2 linked regions of the Pelodiscus sinensis genome follow. The protein of the gene in region 2 interacts with the protein of the main gene of each other region in a pairwise test. Links are inferred from orthologs where the notes say so. Each region holds a gene or a part of one and is shown on either strand. Other genes may lie near its edges.

Region 1 (11,875 bases), on a different chromosome or scaffold from region 2:
ACCTCTCCAGTGTCTGTCTAAAGGCTACTAACCCCTTTGGTCTTCTCCAGGCCATTGGCAGAAAGTCAGTACCACCATTGATTTGTTCATTGCTACTGCCTTCTCTGTGATGTCAAAGATAACTACTGCTTTCATAACCTCCTTCCCCTACATTAAGGTGCACAAACCCTTCAAAGCACCCATAGAGAAGCATTGCATGGTTGCTAAGACTGCACACTGTTCATTCACATTCACCCAACATGCATCCATTTGTACTGCCCCTCTCCACTGATATGAGGGTCAGCGTGGTTTTCTATCATTACTCAGGTAAAACTTCCATTGAATGTAATGGGAATCATTCTGGAGTAAAGGCTGCAGTGTTAGGCCCATGGCCCAATATGAATTCAAGCATGTATGTGTTGTATAATATGAGAAGGAGTCAATTTTTAAATTCTTATTTGGAAAACTTTTTAAGGGGGGATAGGCTCAAAACTGAACCAGATTTGCAAGGATTGTTGTCTTCCAGAAGTGTATGCAACTTGCATTTGTTCAGTTTGTTAGTGCTAAATTGGCTTCTAATTAGAAAATCTTTCATGTCAACAGTACTGATTTCCAGACCGTTAAAAATCAGTAAGAAAAATTGCTTAAAAGTTCATCATATTCCTTTTTTTTTTGTTATGAGTACGATGCTGTGCCCTTTAAGACATGAAGTGACTAAAGCGGTCTAAACGCTGAGTGTTGCTTGGTAGACTGAAGGTTGGTTTTTAAACTTTGGTGGTTAGTGTGCTCTGTGATGTGACTTTTTTTGCTAAGGTCTTACTAACCTTATTTACTGCCGTCACAGGTTGGTGTCAAGGTAAACAAAAGGGTTTTGGTCAGTAAAATACAGGCCGTTCTTTTCCCTTCATGTAGTCAAATAATTTGCTGTTCATTGTTTGGGCTACAAATAGCTTTTCACAAGCATTTCTGGTTGGAAATACGGTATTTCTTCCAAGTGGCACTATTTGTTTGACTTGGCATGCAGGCTTTGTAATTAAGTGTATATATTACTGCCCAGTTCAAATGGCAGGCATTTCAAACCAATTTGTTTAGGTTCCTTTCTTGCCAACACATTATTTAAAATGGAAAATCAAAACCTCATACTATACATTCTCACCATTCTTACTGGTTTAAATGAGATGTGGAATGCAGTCATGCCCTCTTCCTCCCTCCCCCAATACAGATACCCCTTTGAGTGCTGTAACAAACTTCCCCTCCCCTTTCTTTTCAGTGTTGCTTGTGGTTGGCAAATAGCTATCCAAGACTTGTTAGCACAGTACTCCTTCCATTATGTCACAGTATGTCTAATCATGGCAGCACCTGATTACATTTTCATTTCCCTAGAGAAAAGTTTTAGTAATGGAGACTTTGTCCTCAGAATCATAGGTGGTTTGGATTCAGCAATTAAGAATTCAGTCTTTTGAAGTATATAATATCAAGATTCTATGGGAAGTAATATGGCATAGATGGATGAAAAAGAACTTGAGGTATGCCACAATACCATCATAATGTAATGGCATTTATATTTGAGAGAATCTTTCATACAAAATTACAAAACATTTCAGTCAATATGCAAATATATACAACACAGCTTGCAATATATCATGAAGTACACTTGATAGAACACAGGTGAAAGGTATAAGGGAAGGTGAGTCTAATTAAATATTGGGAAACTAGGAGACTAATCATGGAGAACTGATTGAGATTTTTCTTCTATGCTTCTCTATCTACCCTACTGTCCAATTTAACTGAATTTGACTCAGGGCATGGAGTGGAGAATGGCAAAAAGAGGGGAAAAAAATTAGTGAAATCATGGCCTTATTAAAGTCAGTAGGAGTTTTACCACTGGCTTCAGTGAGGAAGTGGGGAGCAGAATTTCACCCCTGTTATTTTGTTCTCCATCTTGTTTCTCAAACAAGTTTAGGTCAAAAGAACAGTGAGCAAGGTGAGCAAATCCTTTTTTTTCAGTACCAGTCTGTTGGAGGAAGATGAGTGAGTGAAGTCCTTCCATCACTACCAAGCAACACTCCACATGGCGTATAATCATTGTCTCAGTCACCTCAATAAACAGAAGCTTCAGGGGGTAGCCCAGTTAGTCTATAAAGTGCTACCAGACCATTTGTTGTTGGGTTTTTTCTGTAACAGACTAACAAAACATGTAGATGGGATTATGAGCTTTTGCATCAGAAGAAGTGGGCTATGCCCACGAAAGCTCATGATACTGTCTACATGTTTTGTTAGTCTATAAAGTGCTGTTTTTTTTCAATGAACAAGACTCTTCTAATGTACAGGTAAGTTTAACACACACACAAACCCACCTGTCACCACTTACTGCATTTTGAAAACTACAGGAAGCTGTTTGTGAAACCAAGTCCACTTTATGCCTGGCATAAACACAACCTGTACACACACTTTCAAATCAAAAATTAAAATATTAATGTTTGTACTGTTTATCTTCTTCTCCCTAAAATAAGCAATGAGCAAACAGATAAAAATATAAAATAAAATATATAGTCACATTAGGAAAAATTGTACAAGAAGGTAAAATGTATTTTCTTTGTAGTTTTCCCCAATATCTGAGAAATAGATCTCAGGATATTTGTCCTGGATAAACTGTTCAAATAAATACTCCAAACTTCCCATGAAATGTAAACACGTAGTCTGGCAGGAAGGTTTGTAGAGACCAAAAACCTTCTGTCTTTTTTTTTTTTTTAATAGTTTATTCTTTTTCTTTGTCTAGCCTGCTCCATCTAGATTGAATTACGTAATCCCCTTCCAAACCAAAGCCTTCAAACTAGACAGGAAAGGAACATTATAGAACTGGGAAGATTTCTGTTGTGGAAGTGGCTTATTTCAGTCTCTCAGTGCCTTGTGGCTAGTGTGAAATATGATCTCCTCACTGCTGTAGAGTTGTTTTTTTGGCAATGTGCAAGGGAGGGGAGGGAAGGGGAGGGTAGCAAAAAATTATAAGGAGTTGTATAACTGTGTAGGTCTGTCATTTTTTAAGTCACTATAGCTCATCATTTGTGAGAGGAAAATGTGTTTAATTAGTTAAAGATTAATGTTAACACGACAATTTCTACTAAGTGAAGCAGCAATTTCAGTGCATTCCTTATTTTGTTACATTATTTATCCATGTTCCCTCTGTGTGACTATTTCTCTAAAGCAGTATCAAATAATGATGGACCTGAACTATAAAGTTTAGGGGTATTTGTATCAGTGGTTTTGGCTCAGCCTATTACAACACAGAGCCAGCCATAGAGTTCAGATCTGAATTGGGAAGTTCTGAGAGTCGTTCTAGGTCATGTAAGACCCCCATCACTACGGTATCTGAATGCCACAGATGGAATCTGGGGTTCAGCTAATGATACAAATGAGAGATGGCCATGAAGTCTAGATCTAAATCTAAATTCTCCTAAAGACTGTGAGTGTTCAATTTCTTGAGAGTTTAGATTGAGCTCATCCTGAATAACAAATAAGAACACACACAGCTAAAAGTGAGTGAGAGTTTACATGTGTTATAGCTAGTATTTATTTGTATTCTGGTAGCTTTGGGAGGTTCCACTCTATAGGTTCTTAAACCACACTAATCACTTCCAGATTAGGGCTCCATGGTGCTAGGTATGGTACATATACAACAAAAAGATCTAAAAGAGCTTGCAGTCTGTGTGAATGTGTGTGATTTTTGTAATTCACCTTTGTATTGAACTTAATGAGGTTTTTTTTGGTGTGTGTGTGTGTGTGTGTGTGTGTGTGTGGCAGGGGGAATCAAAATATTCTTTTCCTCCCTCTTTCTGCAGTCACACAAGATTACTATATGTCTATACGTTAGTCTAATGCATCAATCCAGTACTCTGCCCAGATATTTATAATTTGTGTACCACTATGATTGATATATACATCAGTGCTTGATGTTTCTGTCTTTAAGTGGGTTGGTTGATTTGTTAAAGAGTGGAGAGAGGAACATGGTTCTAATTTCCAAATATATAATTGGTTTCTTGCTCCTAGCTAATTAAAACAAACCACGTTTAAAAAAAGCTTGTTCACATAAAACATTTGTTAAAGTGTAGAAAACAGGCTGATTATTTCATAGGGGGAAAACAACAATTTCTATGTTTATAAACAGTGCTGGATAATAATGCTGAACGTCACTTAGAAAGGGGTGGTGTGTGTGTGTGTGGGGGGGGGGTGTGTGTAAATATACACATTTTACATTTGAGGACACACGCACATATACATACACATGCACATTTTACATCCATCAATGTAAATGTCCTTGAGTATTCCAGTGAAACTCTGAAGTTGCTGCAATTATTATGCTGGTGCAAATGAAAGGAGAATTTTAGTCACTTGTTCAGATATGTATAGTACTGTACTTGCATCAAAAACAGTTATAGGAAAGTACATTCGATTTTGAAATCAAACCTAATTTAAAAAAGAGAATCTTTTCCCAGGTGTTCTCTCTATACTATACACTTTATTTTCCATTTAAGGGATCTTATTCTCCTGTCATTTGCACCACCGTGAATCTGGAGTAACTTCCCTTAACTTTAGTGCAATCAATTCAGTTTTTACACTGGAATATGAGGGATCAGAATTTGGTCCAGTAAATTCATGCGGAATCTTACCACATGCTGACTGAGTTAAGTTTTTTTCCCCCCTAGCCGCTCCTTTTCTAGATTATACTTTCATAATCTATGAGAAAACGGTCTTGCTTTTGGAAACAAAGTACCTACCAGTTAATATACTTAAACAACAATAAAAGGTCTGATAGCACTTTATAGACTAACAAAACATGTAGATGGTATCATGAGCTTTTGTGGGTACAGCCCACTTCTTCAGATGACTGGAGTTAAGTAAATATTTTGCCACCGATGAATGCAAGAAGCATTTTTACCAGGATTCATCAGAACTTTAACCTAATGCATGTATTACTCATGGTAGGTGTACCAGGCTTTCTACTACAAGCTCATTTTATTTTCAGACTAGACCAACTGCCCCGCAATTTTTTTTTCCCATTCAGAGCCCCAATATTAAGGATCTCAGAAAATGGTATGTAGAATTTTGGAAGATCTCCTTGAAACACACATGGCAAAGTCATTCACAACAGGAGGAGAGACTGAGACTGCCTTCGGATGAATCCAAAAATAAGCGAGTCTGAGATTTAGAAGCTGTGCTTTTCCATCTACGTTGAGCCACTGCTCTATCTGTAGTAGTTGCAGGAAAATGAGCTGGGAGTTTGCTTAGGGACAATCTGAAAAGAGTCTAAAAACTAGACAGAATTTAGGGTATTCAAGCAAAGTGCTCTATATCCATCGGATTTTGCACTGCGAGGAAACTGTCACTCAGAAGCCTTTTGGAACTGAAGATGTTAATGGCTCCCACCCCACATATATTTAATTAGAAAATTCCTTCAAAGAAACCCCTTTTCCTTACCTTATACTTCATATTTGCAGGCTTATATGGAGTAGTCTTGTACAACTAGACAAAACACATTGAGAGCGCAGGTTTTTTCCCACCCATTTAATGCCTTGCTGAACGAAACAAATATTCCCAGAATTGCAGTTGGTTTGCCAGGCTAATGTGAGAGTTCTTGGTACTGCAAAGTTCCCAGTGTCTCTGAGCTCACGTTGGACTTGTGGGAGGCAGGCTACTGAACTTCATTTGCATACATCCCAGCTATTGGCTAAGAGGGCAGAATTCCTGGGAGAAGGTAGCACGGATCCCAGCCACTCCTCAACTTTTTTTTTCCAAACTCCCCTTCTAACAAAAAACACTTAACACGAGAGTCTTCCGCGAAAGGAGAGGAGGGGGCGTGTGAGAGATTGAGGGTGAAATCTTTGAAAGATTAGCTTCGTGTTTTTGTTTTTTTTTAAAGAAATCGACTCACAAAACAAGTTCCGACAATCCCGTTTCCTGTGACCTAGCAACTCCTTCAATTTCATTTCAAAGCCATTCACCTCACAATCTCCACATGAAATGGACTGTGGGAACAAAAGCCTTTTTGTCTACAGTACTCTCTTTCCTCACCACCCCTGCTGATATCTTTTCTTGGTCGCTGTTGTGTTTTCTGGGTTCTTTTCAAGGTTCAAAGTGCTCTGGCTGTCAGATTGAAAGAAGCCCCTAAAATATTCTGTCGGACATGGCAGAGATTTGACACTAAAATTTACTCACACATGTACTCGGAACCTACACAGTTATTATAATGATCAAAATGTTCAGGGTGTTTTCCAGACAGAATAAAATGCATATGTTATTTAGATACAATATATATCTGGCAGCCACTCTTAGCTTAGATTAATGTTTAATATTAAATCTGTGCGCTCTCATGCTGCTTTTCCCCTCTCCTGTCAGCACTAATGCTCTAGAAGCGCACACTTGTATCTTTGTATTTTGAACAGCGAGGTTTTTCATTCCCGTTTTCCTGCTTAGTGAGATGGTCTGTTAACGGGCCAGTCATTATCTCTGGAATCAAAACGCTAAGTGTTCGCTTTGCATGGGAAAGGATTGTTATTTACATATTGATTAGACACGGGAGGGCAAGTTGGCTTTAATGTTCGCTGAGCCTGGTTTATACAGTGACCCGGGCATAATCAGTGGAGTTGGGTAGTAATTCCTTTGTGCTTGCTTGGAGGCCGGCAGTGCTTAATTTGTAATGGAAGAGGTGCTGGGCTGCAAGCAATTAGGTGACATGGCTTAAGAAGCTATTTATTTATTTATTTTTACTTTCATAACTGATTTGGACAGCCCAGAGGTACTGGGGCTGGGAAGTGCCAAGCCTAGGGACTAGCAATCCCTGACTCAAATTAAACTCTTAGGGCAGGACAGAGGAGTGAAGAAAATATGACTTAATAGTGCCATGCTCTGTAACTGGAAATGCCTCATCGGTCTTGGTGAACTCAGTCCAGAGACCAGCAATCCTTGAGGGAAGAACTCCACCTAAATTACCTGACCTGGAAAGACACTTTATAAAAAAAAAAAAAAAAAAAAAAACACTTCTGACCCATTTGGATTTCAGCTGAAATTCTAGGTCACAGATGGACTAGGACTGCTTCTAGTGGTCTAAGAAAAAAGAGGAAGAGAGTGTCTTCCATTGTGGAAATATAAAGATGACTCCATTTCCACAATGTGATAGAACCTGAGTAGTTTTCATGAGACTCAGCCTAGAGTAGCAAAGTCTCATTAAGCTTTTCATTATGCATGGAAAACATAATATTGTATGTCTGTCTGTCTCCATCCAGTGGCTTAGGCGGAGGAAGGTTTTTGCCTTCCCAAACTGCCAGCCTGGCCTCCTCCACACTCCACCCCCAGAATGGTTGCTTTAGGTGTTCTGGGGGCGGAGTGTTGCTGCCCCCAGTGTCCTCCCTCCCCATTGCTCCAAGGAAGCTGGGGTGCACATGCTCTTCCTCTCCCTATGGTGGAGGTGGGGCTTCAGCAGAGTAGACAGGGCTGTAGGTAGGGCTGGGGGCCTGCCTCCTGCAGCCCCAGCTGCACGGATCACCCATGTCTATCTGCTATATATCTGAGAGAGTTCATTTGTCTCTGAGAGTTCATTTGTTCAAGAGTTCCTCCTAAACAGTAAGGCTGTGTCTACACTGGCAAGTTATTCCGGAAAATCAGCCGCTTTTCTGGAAAAACTTGCCAGCTGTCTACACTGGCCACTTGAATTTCCGGGAAAGCACTCATGAGCTAATGTAAAATCATCAGTGCTTTTCTGGAAAAACTGTGCTGCTCCCATTTGGGCAAAAGTCTTTTTCCGGAAAACTGTTCCGGAAAAGGGCCAGTGTAGACAGCACAGTAGTGTTTTCCGCAAAAAAGCCCCGATCGCGAAAATGACGATCGGGGCTTTTTTGCGGAAAAGCGCGTCTAGAATGGCCACGGACGCTTTTCTGCAAAAAGTGCTTTTCCGGAAAAGCGTCCTGCCAATCTAGATGCGCTTTTTCCGAAAATGCTTTTAACGGAAAACTTTTCTGTTAAAAGCATTTCCAGAAAATCATGCCAGTGTAGACATAGCCTAAGAGGCAGGATCACCAAATTTGGTAGGCAGTTTCTTCTTATAACTTAAAGCAAGATCAGGGTTTGGTTGTGCCAGGACAATGGGATGTGCTGGAATGGGATTGCTTCTCAGAAAACCATACAGATAAGAGACAGAATCACCAGGCAGGTGAAAGGGACTGTCTGGGGGTTCCCTTCCCCTCCCCCCATTCATGACTGCCCGTCCCTGAGCTTCCCATCTCCCAGGCATCCTTTTAGGAGGGTGATGGAGGAGCTTAAGAGTCCCCCTGCTCTCCTCCCCCCAATTCATATAGTAATACTACTGGCTGTTTCCCTTCATCACAGAGGGACAGGAAAATGCAGTTTGCTGCATTCCAGGGGAGTGCAGGGGCGGGGGAGGGGGCGTACAAACTTGGACCCGCTCCAGCTGGGGGACATGCACCCTCCCCTGGCTCTGCCCACTGGAACTGCAGTGGCCATAGAGAGGTGCTTCTCAGCTGGTCACAAGCTGCTGTGGTGAGAATAGGCTGGTGCAGTCCTCTCTCCCTTCATACTGAACCCCTCATTCCCAGCCCCACCCTGAGCAATGATTTAAAGAAAAAACAAAAATCATTTGAAGACCTGAGCACAGCTGGGTACATCCTCTGGTTGTCCTAAACAGTACTTACATATACAGTGTAGCATTGTTGCAGAGAAGAGTATACTTCATTGTGTTAATTAAATGGTTTCCAATTTGCTTATTTACAAAGGATCTCATCCTACAATTGACTCTCTACCAGCACAATTGCAGGACTCAGACTATAAATTCACAAATTTCAGTAATCCACAAGAGGTGAACTAATCATTAATGAGGACTAGTGAGTTTCTGCTGTGTGTTCCAGTAAAGATATTTTAGAATCCTACCATGTTGCATTGTAATTGGGCTTATGGTATACAGTAGTACTCTGACACAACATTGCTTGGACTTCTGGTTTTGTTGCTTTGTTTATTCCTTGAAAGTTTTCAGAGAAATACTGTAGTGTGAATTAGTTTAGATGTGGAACAGTTATGCCATGTCAATTTACAAAATACTGACATGTTCAACAATTACCATGTGACATTGCTGTGGATGTTATGTGGAATTTATTCCTAATGGTTAATAAAACATCAAGAGCACTTACCCTGCTGAAGCGATTCTAACTAAAATTGTTTCTGCACTCACATAAATTAGAGCAAACAGCCAAGGATCTTTTTTTTTTTTTTTAATTGGATGGATAAATGAATCCCATAGACCTAGTGTAACTGCAGTGAAAGTCTGAGTGTCTTTTGTTTTGTGAGTCTTAACTCCTCTGATCTTTCTGCTTGACTCTCCGTGGCTTTTGAGAGGATATAAATGCTTCCTTCTTGGATACTCTCCTAAAGGAGGAAGGGTAATTGGGGAATTAATCTGAGATTTGGGAATTCCAGGTTCAATTCTTTGTTCCACCAGAGACTCCCTGTGTGGCCTTGGGCAAGCCTCTCTGTCCCTCAGTTTTCTCATCTACAATATGGGTATAATAATCTTTCCTCACAGGCATATTATGAGTATAAATACATTTCATTGTGAGACACCTAGGGATACTACACTAATAGGGACAAGTTAAGTACTTCAAATGCATAGACCTGTGTTACTGGCTTTTTCTAAACTCCTACCCACAATGTATCTGTTTCTCTATTGACACACCAATAATAATTGTAGCAGCATGCAAATGGTGCTTTTCATGTTGAAAGCACTTTACGGTCAGTGAGAACTAAACACTTGCAGGTTGTCAGATCTTTATGCATTGTGTATGAAGATTTATATCATGTTTATTTTAAATGTCCACTTTAAAGTGTCATTTTTAATGTATTCCCTACATATATGGTAATGGAAACTTTGCGTCAAAGGCAAAAAACAAGGAAGCAGTATATTAGTATGCATAGTGTGTATTAAAAGAGCTTGTATGCACTCTGCTAGAATGAAATTTTGGGGGTGTAAAAACCTCAAAGTCCATGTAGCCAACAATACTGAATGGGAGCTTGTAATCGTTATACTTAATTTTTTTTTAAAAGAAACACATGCATAAAGGAAAGCTGGATTTAAAAACTCAGTGGTCCCCCCACTACAGGAAAGCAGTATCTTATTGCTCTGTATTTTCAGACATGCTTTCCCTCTCTCTGGTGTACTCCATTTACCGTCTCAGGTTTGCTCTGAGGTTTGAGGTGGCTTTTACTTTTCCCAAGGGTGAAATGCTCCATCTTAAAGCAACACTGGTACCGCAGTCTGCAATACAGCAAAGTTTCCCCAACACAACAGCAATGTCAGAAATTAGATACAACTTGAAAGGGGCGTTAGTAAATGTGATCCTCTAACCCTGACACACTGCTGAAAAAAATCAGACCAAACTTTAGTTAGTACAGCTACTTAGCTTTTTCTTAATGACCTTGCAGATTGTAATGTCTTCACTGCATAATATTATATTACAAGCATAGTTTTGGAAAATTTTAACTCGATTGTCTTGGCAGACCAGCAACGTTATTCACTGTAACATGCTTATGAGACAAAACCCTGGCTTTATCAGGGTCAATAGAGTGGAGCCAATTTGCACTGTCAGGCCTGCATTTTTATATTTACAGAGCCCTATTTAAATTCTTAGGAGGGCGACCTATAGAAAGTGACCATTGAATCCGTTCTTCAGAGCACAGTCAATGGGCCTGATTGTTGCTACACTGCCAACTGTAGTGGAGAATAAATCCTATTCCTTCATTTGTGTCTGCATCCTTGTGTCTCTCTCTTCTTGAGTGCCAAATATGGTAGCCAGGTATTTACTGAATGGCATCCAGGAAGCAAGAGCCCTGTCAATGTCAGAGCTAGAACAGCTGAGTGTCAGGAAGGTTAGAGTGAATAGACTACATGGTCCATGACAAGCAGTCTGAATAACAGCTGTGAAAGAAGCAGGTCAGCCAGGGAGACTGGCAGGGCCTGTTGAAGCAAATCAGCAAAGAACAATCTCCCAATACAATTGATGGGAGAGGACCAGCAGATCATTTTAGAGGTAACTTAAACAAGCAAAAATATGCAAGTAGTTCCCGGATCCTTGTGCCCCCTTTGCCATGGGAAGCTAGAGAGAAACTAGGGTCTGCAGAAAGCCCTTTTGAGAGGCTGATGTCATTGTATGTGCACTGAGCTACCCTTCATCTGCACAAAGCCTGTCCATCAGACAGCATTACGTAACAGCAAGTAACATCTGCACCCTGTGCGACCTTGTTAGTGGGTTTAAGGATTTGGCTTACAATGAACATGGATATAGTGGCCCTGCATTTCACTGTGAAAATTATAGTTCTGATTGTATGGCAGATATCTACAGATGGGGCCTGATTCTTTAGGCTCTAGGCAAAGCACACCACCTTTGGCATAAGAAGTTGGTCTCTTGCCTTCCACCATTAGATATCCCTTCCACCATTTTGGCTGTGGATGGCACTTTGATCCATTAGATAAATTTGTTACTGTTTTTTATGAGGAAAATAACAAAAAAAATACTCTAGCCTGAGTAACCCCTTATTTCCCTCTTCTGTGCAGAACAGAGAGTCTGCAGAGAGGTTCCTTTATGCTGAAATGAAACTAAGACAAAGATTTTTTTATTTCCACCCAAGAAACTAAACTATTTGAGGGAAATTCACCAAGTAATTAGTGTTTCAGCAAAGCGTGCACAGAAAAATTCTCCCTTTTGGCCAATGATGGGATTTTCCCCCCGTCCTCCCACTCATCGCTAGTAATGGACAGACAGACATAAACAATTCATTACATAAAACTGCTATGAGAACCTGTCTTGCTAGAAGAGTTATGAGCAGTGGTTTCCTGTAA
Region 2 (12,794 bases):
CTCCCCAGCTTGCAAGGCGGCGCGTGGGTGGGCAGACGTGATGCTTGGAAGGAGCTGAACAGGCTCCCCATGAGCCTCAGGGTGCATTCGCCTTCAGTGCCGCGACGGTGGCCCCTGAAAAGCTGCAAGGAATCCAGCCTCTCTATACCCCCCATATTTCCAGCACAAGCTGCCATGTCCCCTGAGTTCAGATACAGAGACTGTCTCTGGGGCTGCTGCAAGGGACTTTAAAGGAGGAAAGCTGATCTGGGTTTGGAAAGATCAAGTCCAGCATGGCATCTACTCACTTGCTGACTTTAAATGGGAAACTACAGATGTTTGGGGTAACATACAGCGCTGGAGACATTGGATTTTGTGTGTCTGTGTGTGCGTGGGGGAGGTATTACAAAACTCTTCCTGGGACTTTCCCAGGTTTCTGGCTGTTCATGCTTTTACTCTGCACTCAGCCCCGCGCGGTCTCAAGCCCGCTCTCATGAGATGCAGCTGCTGGAGAGAACAAGGTGCAACAATGTGCCCCAGCTGAAGTTATGGCAGAGCAATGAAACCAGGGGCTGCAGGGTGGCAGCTGAGAGAGGCAGGGAGGCAGGGGCAGAAATGCCCCCACGTCCAAGTGCTGGGAGTGGGGAGGGGGTTGTCCGTTCAAGGATCTGGGGGGCTATCATGCCTAGTGGTTAGAAGGAACCAAGGCGGTTGCTGGGATGCGCAGATGATCTGACCAATCCTAAGCTTTCCCCCTCTCCCGCCTCTGCCCCGTTGGAACGAAGGAAGGAAAGAGCCACTGGGTTTCCCAGTTCCGTCGCTGTCCTAATGGGCTGATCCCTCTGGGTGTGACAGCGCCTCCTGCTGGGCCTGGCCTCCCTGCCCAGTGGGCTGGTGACACGCCAGGGCCGGCCAAAACACCCAGGACGCTCCCGCAAACAGCAGCCGGCGCTGCCATGAATCATCCACTCCGTGCAGCCTCCCCCGGGCTGCAGGCAGCACCGATCCGGGGCTGCCATCGTGAGGCACCGTGGCACTTGGCACAGGGCCCTGGGGTTTGTTACCTACCCTAGCAAGGGCCGGGCGGTGCTTATTGTGTGCCAGCCCCACTTGGGCTGGCTGTTCCTAGCCCTGCGGCATCAGTGATGGATGTCAAAATATTGCTTGAGCTCCTCCACCCCCTTTCGTTGCAAAATAAGCAATTCACAAGCCTTTTCCCTGCCTGAAATATAAACCCCGGGGCTTTTCTCGAAGGGCCATTCCCCTAAGCCAAGGGGTGGCACGGACGGCGGGTGCACAGCATGGGCGTTGCCCCCCTCTCTCGCCTCCTCTCTGCTCCAGTTGCCACTGCGCTTTGGGCTCCTGGCCGTCACCTACCAGGGGAGGAGGAACGAGTGGGTGCACAGGCCTTTTTCACGGGGGGCGGGAGAGGAGACGGTTGAAATTAGCAAGGGGGCCCACCAACCCCTGGCAGGGGCACCTCCAAGGGAGCAGACGGGCATTACCTCTGGCCACCCCCATTCCAGATCCAGGGAGAGACGGTCACTGCCCCCAAAGCATTTACCACTGACAAAGGGGCTGCGTGTGTGTGTGGGAGGAAACTGAGTCACAGAGGTGGGGGAAGGCGTTTGGCCAAGGTGTGTGGAGCAAGGAGCAGAGTGTTGTATCCATTACGCCATGTGGCCGGTCCATCCGATCAGCGTTACGTCTCTTGGCCTTTGTTTTATTTTGATCCAGGATGTAATTCCTAATACATGAAGTTCTCCCACTTCATCCCCCTCCCAAATAAACTCCCACATTTTGTCCCCAAATTGCTGCATCTGCTGGTGAAATGGACCCCTCTGGAAAGTGGGGCAGGCAGTAAGTTTGGACAGGAATCAATCTCCCAGCATTGAGATGCAGCCACTTCTGGGGTGGAGCATGGTACCTTCCTATATAGGGATCTTCTCCCCCCTCCCCCCCCCCCCCCAGTGCTGGGAGGCAGCCACCTCTGGATTGCAGTATGGCAGCTGTTTGTAAGGGGACCCAGGACTGAAATGCAGTTGCCCTTATTTGGGGGGGGGGGGAGGAGAGATGCAGCAGCTGGCAGCCCAGGCAAGAAGGCTGGGCTTGGAGGAGGGAGTGTGTGTGTATGGGGGGGGGGGGACATACATGGAAAATGAAAGAACGGAGGGGGAGGGCAGCCCCCAGTAGCTCCACAGAGGGGGGAGGCAGATTCTTGGCGATCCTGCTGCTCCCAACCCCCGCCCGGGACTTTAATGCCAAATATTTTCTTGCTGAGGGAACTGGCAGGGCTGTGCCCACTTGCTGCCCACAGTGCAGCCACTGCGGGGGCTCACAGCTTACCAGGGACAGAACGCAGGAGTCCTGAACCTCCTACTCCCTGCCCCCCAGCCCCAGAGCTGGGAACTGAACGCAGGGGTCCAGACATTTGGTTTCCTGCTCTAACCAGTGAACCCTGCTCCCCTCCCAGAGCCAGGACTCCTGGGTTCCCCTCTCCAGAGGCAGGAGGGGAGTGTCACCCAGTGGTTAGAGAAGGGGGGGCTGGGAGCCAGGGCTCCTGGGTTCCCTTCTCCAGAGACAGGAGGGGAGTGTCACCCAGTGGTTAGAGAAGGGGGGGCTGGGAGCCAGGACTTCCGGGTTCCCTTCTCCAGAGACAGGAGGGGAGTGTCACCCAGTGGTTAGAGAAGGGGGGGCTGGGAGCCAGGACTCCTGGGTTCCCTTCTCCAGAGACAGGAGGGGAGTGTGGCCCAGTGGTTAGAGAAGGGGGGGCTGGGAGCCAGGACTCCTGGGTTCCCCTCTCCAGAGGCAGGAGGGGAGTGTCACCCAGTGGTTAGAGAAGGGGGGGCTGGGAGCCAGGACTCCTGGGTTCCCTTCTCCAGAGACAGGAGGGGAGTGTCACCCAGTGGTTAGAGAAGGGGGGGCTGGGAGCCAGGGCTCCTGGGTTCCCTTCTCCAGAGACAGGAGGGGAGTGTGGCCCAGTGGTTAGAGAAGGGGGGGCTGGGAGCCAGGGCTTCCGGGTTCCCTCCCCAGCTGCAGGAGGGGAGTGTGGCCCAGTGGTGGGAGCAGGAGGCAGCTGCGTGCCGCAGGGGAGCGCAGCGGGAACGGCTGGCGGGCTGCAGGGGCCGCTGGGCACCCCCCCTCCTCAGCTGGGCCCGGCCCGTGGGCGGCTGCCGGGCTCTAGCGGAGCCAGCTCCGGCCGCGTGGGCGGGGGATGTGCGTCAGCGAGGGGGCGAGCAGCACGTGGGGCCGGGCCAGTGAATTCCAGCCCGGCCAGCCCCAAATAGCTCCTGGAGCGGGGCGGCGGCCTTTGATCCTCACGTCGTTCTGGGGGGCCAGAGCCCCGCATCCCTCGGGGGCCCCGATTGCACATCCTTGGGGGGCCAGAGCCCCACATCCCGTGGGGGCCCCGATTGCACATTCTTAGGGGGCCAGAGCCCCACATCCCGCGGGGGCCCCGATTGCACATCCTTGGGGGGCCAGAACCCCACATCCCTCGGGGACCCCGATTGCACATCCTTGGGGGGCCAGAACTCCAGATCACTCCGGGGGAGCGCGATTCCACATCGCTTGGGGGGGCTAGAACCCCACATCTAACACCTCCCAGCCCCATGCAGCTGCCCTGATCCCCGCGGGGTGGGGAAGAGATGGACTCACGTGGGGGACTAGATCCTTTCACACCCCAATCTTTACAGCCCCCAGGGGGCACCCTGAGCCCCACATTGTGACAAGGGCCTGGAGCAGCTTGGACCCCACTGCCCAGGATGCGTTGGACCATGCCCAGCGCAGGAGGAGTGTGGGTGGGGAGGGGTCTAGGGAGATAGGGTGGCAGGGAATGGCAGCCAGGAATCCTGGGTGTTCTCTCCAGCCCTCCCCACATTTACTGGGCCTGTGCTAGGGCTGGCAGGGGGCTGCGGGTTGGGAGTGGGGGGCACCGGCGGAGTGGGGGATGGGGAGCCCAGAGATGGGCTGGCAGGGGGCTGTGGGTTGGGAGTGGGGGGCACCGGCGGAGTGGGGGATGGGGAGCCCAGAGAGAGGCTGGCAGGGGGCTGCGGTTTGGGAGTGGGGGGCACCGGCGGAGTGGGGGATGGGGAACCCAGAGAGGCTGGCAGGGGGCTGCAGGTTGGGAGTGGGGGGCACCGGCGGAGTGGGGGATGGGGAGCCCAGAGAGGCTGGCAGGGGGCTGCGGGGTACATGGAGCTGCCGGGAGTCACACCGTTAGTCCATACATGTCCATGTGCCCACGTGTCACACACAACCCCTCCAGGGCCCTCGCCATCCATCCCCCGCCAGTTCCAGCTCCGCCTGCGCCCGGCAGAGGCCCTGGGGAGCTGGGACCAGCAGGAGATGCTGCTCCTGAGGCATGACGTGAGTGGGTGGATTTGAGCACCCGCCAGGCAGTCCGGCCCTGCCATCTCACAGAGCCACCAGCCTGCGCCAGGGACCCGAGTGGGGCTATGAATAGCTGCCGGAGCGTGGCTGAATGAGCCACGTGGGTGCAGTGGAGCAAGGGGGTAGGGGTGGGGGATGGGCAGGGGTGGACAGAGGGCTGTGCAGGAGGGGAGAGGGAGGAATGGGGAGGGGGCATGGCTGGGGGGGGGGCGGATATTTCCTCTCTCTCAGCACCAGGAAGGGGAAGGAAAGGCCGCAGGGACCATCAGCTCTTCGGCCACCCAGCACCCATCCCTGATTCCCGATTTGCCCCCGGGGCAGCCGTGGCCTGCGACTTCACACAAGCTCCCTGCCGCCCAGCTCCTTCCTGCAGCAATGGCCAGGGACCCTACCGCAGCCCTGCTGTGGGGGGCGGCATGATGTTCTTTGGGGGAAGAAAGAAACTTCAACCCACGAGGAGTGGAGGAGGGGCCTGCAGGGAAGGGCAGCCAGGACAGGGGTGCAAATGGAGACCCCAAGGAGTTACCAACGAACTAGGGGCGAGATCCCCAGCCTCTGGGAAGTGACGTCGCTTCGGCATCGCCAACTGCAATGGAGCAGACTGACCCGGCCTCACTGATCCCGACGGGGATGCGGCCCCACACCAGCCAGGATCCAGACCCACTGACCCCGACAGGGCTACGGCCCGTCCACGCTGGCTCCATCCCAGTATTCTGGGAGAACCAGATTCTCCCCCCACCTGCCAAGGAGGCTGCAGACCCCAGAAGCAGCTGAGATGCAGGGAACAGAACCAGGCAGAGCCCTTTCAGAGCTGAGCTATTCCCACGGACTACAAGGGGGTGCCCTGGGGGAGGAGTGAGACAGAGCAGAACAGGACTCATTGGCTCCCTGCCCCGGGAGTCAGCGTGTGCACCCATGCACCAGGAACATGGCGCCCCAAGCTGCTGTACTTGTGAGTCTGCCTTCGTTTGGAACAAATCCCCAATTTCAAGCCAAACCACCATTCGACATCCCGCCATTACCCACAGCATCTGCCGACTGGCACCAGCCATTTGGCTCTGGGTGGGAGTGTTGACTCTGAAACCTAACGATGGCCATGAAAACATCCTCATTTGCTAGCAGGTGCTTAGATGCGGCTGAGACTGAGCAATGCCCTAAAAGTGCCCCATGTCATTGCTATGCTGGGGGCATAGGTTCCCCCGTATCTTCACCCCACCCCTCAAATTAGCTCACATGCCCCCCAGATAAGGGGGGCCCTGGACATCCAGCTGTTGCCATCCGCGCTGGGCCTAGCTACACGTGTGCTTCCAAGGGCCCTGTGTTAACCACATCAATGCCTAGATGATGCTCAGGGTTACTATAGCAACCAGGGATGCGCATGAACCGAAGCTTTCCCACAACACCGGTCCAGTCCCAGAGCCACTTTCTCTGTCACCGAGCCACCAAGCAGGGGCAACTGGGAAGGGACGAGGCCTTGTGCCCCTCTTGGCTGCACCAGCACCACACACATAGGGACAACGGGGCCCGGGCCCCCCTCCAGCCCCACACAGGGGCCCCTCCGGCCTGTGGCAAATGGCAGGCCCGGCCAGAGCACAGTGCATTGTGGGTATTCTCTGCATCCCAGGGGCATGGGGAGAGGGGCGTAAGTGAGAGCAGCCGGGAGGTTGATCTAATGGATGTCAGGGGCCCCGAACGTCTAATGGGGGAGGAGGGGTTGGGTCCTGTGCTAGGCTCCTGCCTCCTACCTCCCCCTCACAGGCACCTGCTCCCATCTCGGGACACCTCCCCTCCCGCCGCAAAGGGAAGGAGGGGGCAGAAACAATCCACACCGTGACCTCTCTGCTACCAAGATGAATCACTTCTCCCTCCGCCCCCGCAAAGCCCAGAGCCCACACGGCACATGTGGGCTGCGCCGAGGGCCCGGCCAGGCCCCTGCTCCTCCTCCCCGCTTCTGAACCTGGGGCTGTCCACACAAAAGGCGCTGTGGGGGGGGGGGGGGGGGGCTTGGCTGGCAGCAACAGAAGGCTTTTATCCGTCTAGCCGGGACAGCAGCCACAGGGGGATGGGACACGGGGTACCCAGCAGGATGCATGGGAGGGGACAGGCTCTGGCAATGGCACCCCAGCCATGAAGGGGTTCTTCTCACGGGGGGGGGGAAGCGATATATAGGGGGGATGCTGCACTGCGTACCAGGCTAAGACTGAGCCCCAGCTTTGAGCCCGTTGGTGGGGGGGCCTAGGCACTGCCCAGGCCCCCCCACCCCACCTGGGTATTGAGGGGTATGAGAGGGGAGCCGCAACCCTTCTCCCCTATGTCCCTTCCTCTGTGCCCCCCCTCCTCCCCCTGTGTTCCCCCCAGCCCGCACCCTTCTCCCCTATGTCCCTTCCTCTGTGCCCCCCCTCCTCCCCCTGTGTTCCCCTCAGCCCGCACCCTTCTCCCCTATGTCCCTTCCTCTGTGCCCTCCCTCCTCCCCGTCTCCTCCCCCGGGCCCCATCCCCCGCGCCCTCCCTCTTCCCCCTGCGCTCCGCCTGGCCCACACCCTCCTCCCCTCAGCCCCCCAGCCCACACCCTCGTCCCCCTGCACCCTCCCAGCCCGCACCCTTCTCCCCTATGTCCCTTCCTCCGCGCCCTCCCTCTTCCCCCTGCGCTCGGCCCGGCCTGCACCCTCCTCCCCCTGCACACCCCAGCCCGCACCCTCCTCCCCCTGGGTCCCCCCCAGCCCGCACCCTCCTCCCCCTGCGCCCCCCAGCCCGCACCCTCCTCCCCTGCCCCCCCCAGCCCGCACCCTCCTTCCCCTGCGCCCCCCAGCCCGCACCCTCCTCCCCTGCCCCCCCCAGCCCGCACCCTCCTCCCCCTGCGCCCCCCAGCCCGCACCCTCCTCCCCTGCCCCCCCCAGCCCGCACCCTCCTTCCCCTGCGCCCCCCAGCCCGCACCCTCCTCCCCTGCCCCCCCCAGCCCGCACCCTCCTTCCCCTGCGCCCCCCAGCCCGCACTCTCCTCCCCTGCCCCCCCCAGCCCGCACCCTCCTCCCCCTGGGTCCCCCCCAGCCCGCACCCTTCTTCCCCTGGGCCCCATCCCCCGCGCCTCCCTCTTCCCCTTGGGCCCTCCACTCTCCCTGCGCCCCTTCCCTCCGGACTCCTCCCCCTGGGATCCCCCCCTTCATCCGTCCCCCGCCCCCTCTCCCTTCCCCCCGGGGCGCCCACTCCCCCTGCGCCCTTTCCCCCACACCCGCCCTCTTCCCCCTGCGCTCCCCCCGGCCTGCGCCCCGCGCCCCCCGCTTCCGACCCCTCGGCCGATCGGCCCGGCCCGCTCCGGGGGCCGGCGGAGGGAGGCGCCGCTGGGTCCCGCCCCCGGAGCCTCCCACGCGCCGCGCCGCGCAGCCGGGCGCTGCTATTTCTCTGTAAATCGCGTGTGGGCGGCGCGCAGAGCGCAGCGGCGGAGGCAGCGAGCGAGCGAGCGGCCGGTGCCGAGCCGGGAGCGCGGCGCGATCCAGCCGGTCCGGGGCAGCGGGGACCCCGGAGAGCCCCCGCCCGGCCCCCCGCCGCCGTCCATGCCCGGGCGAGGCGCCGCGGAGCTGGGAGCGAGAGCGGCCGGGCGCAGCTCCAGCCAGGCCAGTAAGCGAGGGGGGGCTGGCACATGGGGGCGGGGGCTGGCGCGGGGTGGGGCCTGGCAGGGGGGAGCCGGGGGCGGGGGGCTGGAAGTGGGGTTGGCACGGGAGGGGGGGGGTGCTGGCTGGCGCTGGGGGGCAGGCACAGGATAATTTCGGGTATTGAGGAGTGGGGGAGGGGCAGTGCTGGGGGCACAGGGGGCAGGAAGAGGGGCAGGAGGTGAGCTGGGGGGGGGTCGGTCTGGTCCTGGGGAGGGAAGCTTGGGTAGGAGCTGGTCAGAGTGCCACTGGGCTTGGGGGAGGGGCTAGTTGACCAGCAAAGTCAGAGCAGAGCTGGGGGGGGGGGGGTCTCGGGACTGTACCCCCCCCCCCCCCAACACACTGCTCAGAGCGTCTTGCTGGGATGTGGGCCTGGGGGGATGGGAATAAGGCACCTGAGCAGGGATCTGGGATGCTGGGGAAAGTGGATGGGGGAGGGGCTGGGGTCTTCTTCCTTCCCCATTCAGGGATGGAGCTGCCATGTACCCCCAGCACCCCTGTCTGGGGGGGGGGGCATTGCCACACAGACATTTCCGGGGGAGGGGGCAGAGGCTGGGTGCGGGGATGTCTCTTGGTTGAAGGAGAAAGACCCTCCAGATTGCGTGGGAGTGGGGCTGGCCAGGGGGCTGTGGAGAGGGGTGATCAGTGGATCAGGCTCTCCAAGCTGGTTGCCAACTGCCCCGGCTCCTTGGGGTGCTGGCACCCGGGGGGGGGGCGGCATTCTCGCCATCTGGAGCCATGTGTATCTCAGGTCCCAGTGGCACTGAGAAAAGCAGGATTCTCTCTGAGGACATGGGGCACTGCCCCTTAGCGAGAGCCCTCTGCAAAAATACTGGGGGGGGGGGGCTGGATGGCACTGGGAGAGTGTGAAGGAGGTACTGGGTGCAGTTGGGGGGGACACTGGTAGGGTGCAGTGTGGAATCCAGTGAGGGGAGGCTGCTGCCCGCAGTGCAGGAAGGTGAGGGTGCTAGGCGCAGGGTGGGAGGACTGGCGGGGTGCAGTGCAGAGTGCAGCAGGGATTGCAACCATGCAGTGCGGGGAGGCTCGGGTGCTAGGTGTAGGGTGGGAAAATTGGGCAGGTGCAGTGCAGAGGGGAACGGGCAAGCTGGTGGAGAACAGTGCAGCGTGACGAGGAGGGTTGCAGCAAGTCAGTGCAGGAAGGTTAGGGTGCTAGGTACAGTGCAGAGAAGTTGGTTGGGTGCAGTGGGAAGGGGTAGGGTTTAGAGCCATGCAGTGCAGGGAGGTTGGTAGAGTGCAGTGGGAAGTTGCTTCCCTGTAGTGCAAGGAGGTGAGGATGCTGGATGCAGACCTGGGAAGCTGGTGGACGTGGGGGGGAGGGTGCAACGGGTTTGGGGGGGGGATGCAGTGTGGAATGCAGTGGAGGGTTACAGCCACGAACCATGAAGAGGTGAGGGAAAGAATATTGGTGGGGTGCAATGCAGAAAGCAGTGGGGAATTGGAGCCGTGCAGTGCAGGGAGGTGAGGGTGCTAGGCGCGGGGTGGGAGGACTGGCAGGGTGCAGTGCAGAAAGCAGTGGGGGATTGCACCATGCAGTGTAGAGAGGTGAGGGTGCTAGGTGCAGGATGGAAAAATTGGGCAGGTGCAGTGTAGGGAGCAGTGCGGGATTGCACCATGCAGTGCAGAGAGGCGAGGGTGCTAGGCGCAGGGCGGGAAGATTGGGCGGGTGCAGTGCAGAGTGCAGTGCGGGATTGCAGCCATGCAGTGCAGGGAGGCAAGGGTGGGAGAATTGGCGGGGTGCAGTGCAGAATGCAGTGGGGGATTGCGGCCATGCAGTGCAGGGAGGCGAGGGTGGGAGAATTGGCGGGGTGCAGTGCAGAGCGCAGTGGGGGATTGCGGCCATGCAGCGCAGGGAGGCGAGGGTGGGAGAACTGGCGGGGTGCAGTGCAGAGTGCAGTGGGGGATTGCGGCCATGCAGCACAGGGAGGCGAGGGTGGGAGAATTGGCGGGGTGCAGTGCAGAATGCAGTGTGGGATTGCAGCCATGCAGCGCAGGGAGGCGAGGGTGGGAGAATCGGCAGGGTGCAGTGCAGAATGCAGTGTGGGATTGCAGCCATGCAGTGCAGGGAGGCGAGGGTGGGAGAATTGGCGGGGTGCAGTGCAGAGCGCAGTGGGGGATTGCGGCCATGCAGCGCAGGGAGGCGAGGGTGGGAGAATCGGCGGGGTGCAGTGCGGGGTGCAGTGCAGAATGCAGTGTGGGATTGCAGCCATGCAGTGCAGGGAGGCGAGGGTGGAGGAATTGGCGGGGTGCAGTGCAGAGCGCAGTGGGGGATTGCGGCCAGGCAGTGCGGGGAAGCGGCCGCTGGTTCTCCGCTCGCCTCCCCCCATCGCCCTGCTCTGGCCCTGATGTCCCCTCTTCCCCTCACAGGCCTGCCCCTCGCCATGGCCCTGCCCCGCACCCTGGGCGAGCTGCAGCTGTACCGCGTGCTGCAGCGAGCGAACCTGCTCTCCTACTACGAGACCTTCATCCAGCAGGGCGGGGATGACGTGCAGCAGCTGTGCGAGGCGGGCGAGGAGGAGTTCCTGGAGATCATGGCGCTGGTGGGCATGGCCACCAAGCCCCTGCACGTCCGGCGCCTGCAGAAGGCCCTGAGGGAGTGGGCCTCCAACCCCGGCCTCTTCAGCCAGCCCATGGCCTCCCTGCCCGTCAGCAGCATCCCCCTCTTCAAGATCTCCGAGAGCGGGGGGCGCAAGTCGCTCAGCAACGGGCACGCCAGCCCCGGGGAGGCCCCGGGGAAAGGGGGCGCTGGGCTGGCCACGCCGCCCGCCCGCAGCCCCTCGGAGCTGGGGGAGAAGCTGTCCCCTCTCTCGGCCCCCCAGTGGCCGGGGCGCAGCACCCCGGAGTTGGAGGGGGGCGGGGCGGAGGAGGACGGGGGGCCGCCCCCTTTCTCGCCGGGGGGCGGGGAGCCGGCGCCGGAGCAGCTGGACCCGGAGCTGGCGCGGACGGTGGCGGAGGGTGTGGAGCGGCTGCTGCAGAGCTGCCCGCGGGGGGGCGAGGCCGAGCTCCGGGCCCTCATGAAGCTCAACAAGAAGCTGGCCAAGGCGGTGGGGCACATCTTCCAGCTGGAGGAGGGCGACCGGCGCCGGGAGGAGGAGATCCGGCGGCACAGCGCCATCTACGGGCGGGGCGAGGCCCGGCGCCGCGACGGCAAGCCCCTCACGCTGCACGAGGTGAGCCACGGGGGGGGGAACAGGGGGGCCCTCGCCCCGTTCCCCAGAATGCAGCCACCTCTGGGGTGGGACGGCGCAGCTGATGGGTGGCGGTGAGAGCGGGGGGTGGGAGGCAGGTTGGGAGCCTGGGTTCTATTCCTGCCCCTGCCCCCCTTGCTGCCCCTCCCTGGATCCTTCCTTGTACCTTTTTCCCATCGGCCCCCAGTTCCCAGCTCTGCCCCTCACCCCGGCATTGAGGCTCCTCGGGGGCCTCCCTGCCGACTCGTCTCCTTCCCAGCCTAATGCTGGGCTCCACCCCCTAGGGGGGATCGGCTCCACCCCCTAGGGGGGATCGGCTCCACCCCCTCCCGCTAACAGCCTCGTCTCCGCCCCTCCCCGCCCCCCAGCTGACTATCAACGAGGCGGCTGCGCAGTTCTGCTTGCGGGACCACACGCTGCTGCTGCGTCGCGTGGAGCTCTTCTCCCTGTCGCGCCAGGTGGCCCGGGAGAGCACCTACCTGTCCTCGCTCAAGGGAGCCAGGTGAGCCGGGCTCCTCCCCGCCCCGGGAAATCCCTCCTGCGGGATCCAGGCTGGGGCATCCCTCGGCAGAGCAGGGGGCGGGCAGGGAGGTGCAGAGGGGAGGAGCGCGGGGGTGGAAAGTGGGGGGGGGGGGGCGGGCAGTGGGAGGAGGAACTGGGCATGGGGTGGGGGGGGAGTCAGGCTGTCGGGAGACTCCTGCCCCCGCGGAGCTGCCCTGCCCCTTCCATCTGCCCCTCAGCCGCCTTTCCCCGCGGGGGACTTTCTGCTCCTGTCGAGCCAGCCGCCCCCCCGGCCCTGCCCCTCCAGCGCTGCCTGGCTCTGTCCCCACCCGGGGTGCGACCGGCAGCCAAGCCGGAGCAGCATCTTAGCCGCCTGGCTCCTCCTGCCCCGAGGAAGGCCCCGCGGGCGGCCCCTGATACCGACCTGTTTCCCGCAGGTCGCACCCGGACGAGAGTGGCGCCGCGCAGCCCAAGAGGCTGAAGCAGGAGGTGGGTGCTGGGTGCGGGGGGGGAGGGGACATGCCTGTGCCGCGGGGTGCAGCTGAGCGGGGCCGATGCCGGCTCTGGGGGCGCGGGCGCAGCAGTGGAGCAGCAAGAGCGACTGCCCCGGCGGGGTGTCTCCCCCGCCTTAGCCACGGCCCCCCAGGCTCCAAGCCAGCCCCAATAGCCAGGGCTCTCTGCGCGGAGCCAGCAGTGGGGGGGGGGGGGGGGGGCCTGGCACCTGTGCCCACCTGGGGAGGGGTCCGGCTGAATCCCATCCTGGGCCTGCGGGCCCGGCGGTGCTGTCTATGCTCTGCCCCATCCCGCCCCCCCTAATCCCCCGCTCGCCCTGCAGGTGGGTGAGCAGAGCCGCCCCGAACCCCTGCAGCTGCCGGGGGGCTCGGAGGCCTACGCGCCCCCCTACAGAGCCAGTCTGGACGAGGACGCGGCCAGCCTGTCTGGAGAGAGCCTGGACGGGCACCTGCAGGGTGAGTGGGGAGCATCGGGGGGAGGAACACGGACCCCCCCCTTCTGCCTTGCATTATGGGGGGGGAGGCTGCTTGTGCTCCCACCCCCATAGCTGCCCTGGGG

Evidence for each region.
Region 1: the proteins of NAB2 (region 2) and NEDD9 interact in binary tests that used the Homo sapiens proteins (3 or more experiments, as listed by UniProt). The two-hybrid records come from large-scale screens. The link is inferred for Pelodiscus sinensis from reciprocal best matches to the Homo sapiens genes NAB2 and NEDD9.

Annotation. Positions count from the first base shown.
Region 1 is NC_134712.1:110,154,048-110,165,922, reverse strand, and holds the start of NEDD9 (enhancer of filamentation 1), read right to left. Parts: upstream 6,037-11,875; 5' UTR 5,467-6,036; coding exon 5,455-5,466; intron 1-5,454. UniProt on the Homo sapiens protein: Scaffolding protein which plays a central coordinating role for tyrosine-kinase-based signaling related to cell adhesion. As a focal adhesion protein, plays a role in embryonic fibroblast migration.
Region 2 is NC_134729.1:3,395,063-3,407,856, reverse strand, and holds the start of NAB2 (NGFI-A-binding protein 2), read left to right. Parts: upstream 1-7,750; 5' UTR 7,751-7,920; coding exon 7,921-7,984; intron 7,985-10,401; coding exon 10,402-11,204; intron 11,205-11,590; coding exon 11,591-11,724; intron 11,725-12,160; coding exon 12,161-12,212; intron 12,213-12,558; coding exon 12,559-12,691; intron 12,692-12,794. UniProt on the Homo sapiens protein: Acts as a transcriptional repressor for zinc finger transcription factors EGR1 and EGR2. Isoform 2 lacks repression ability.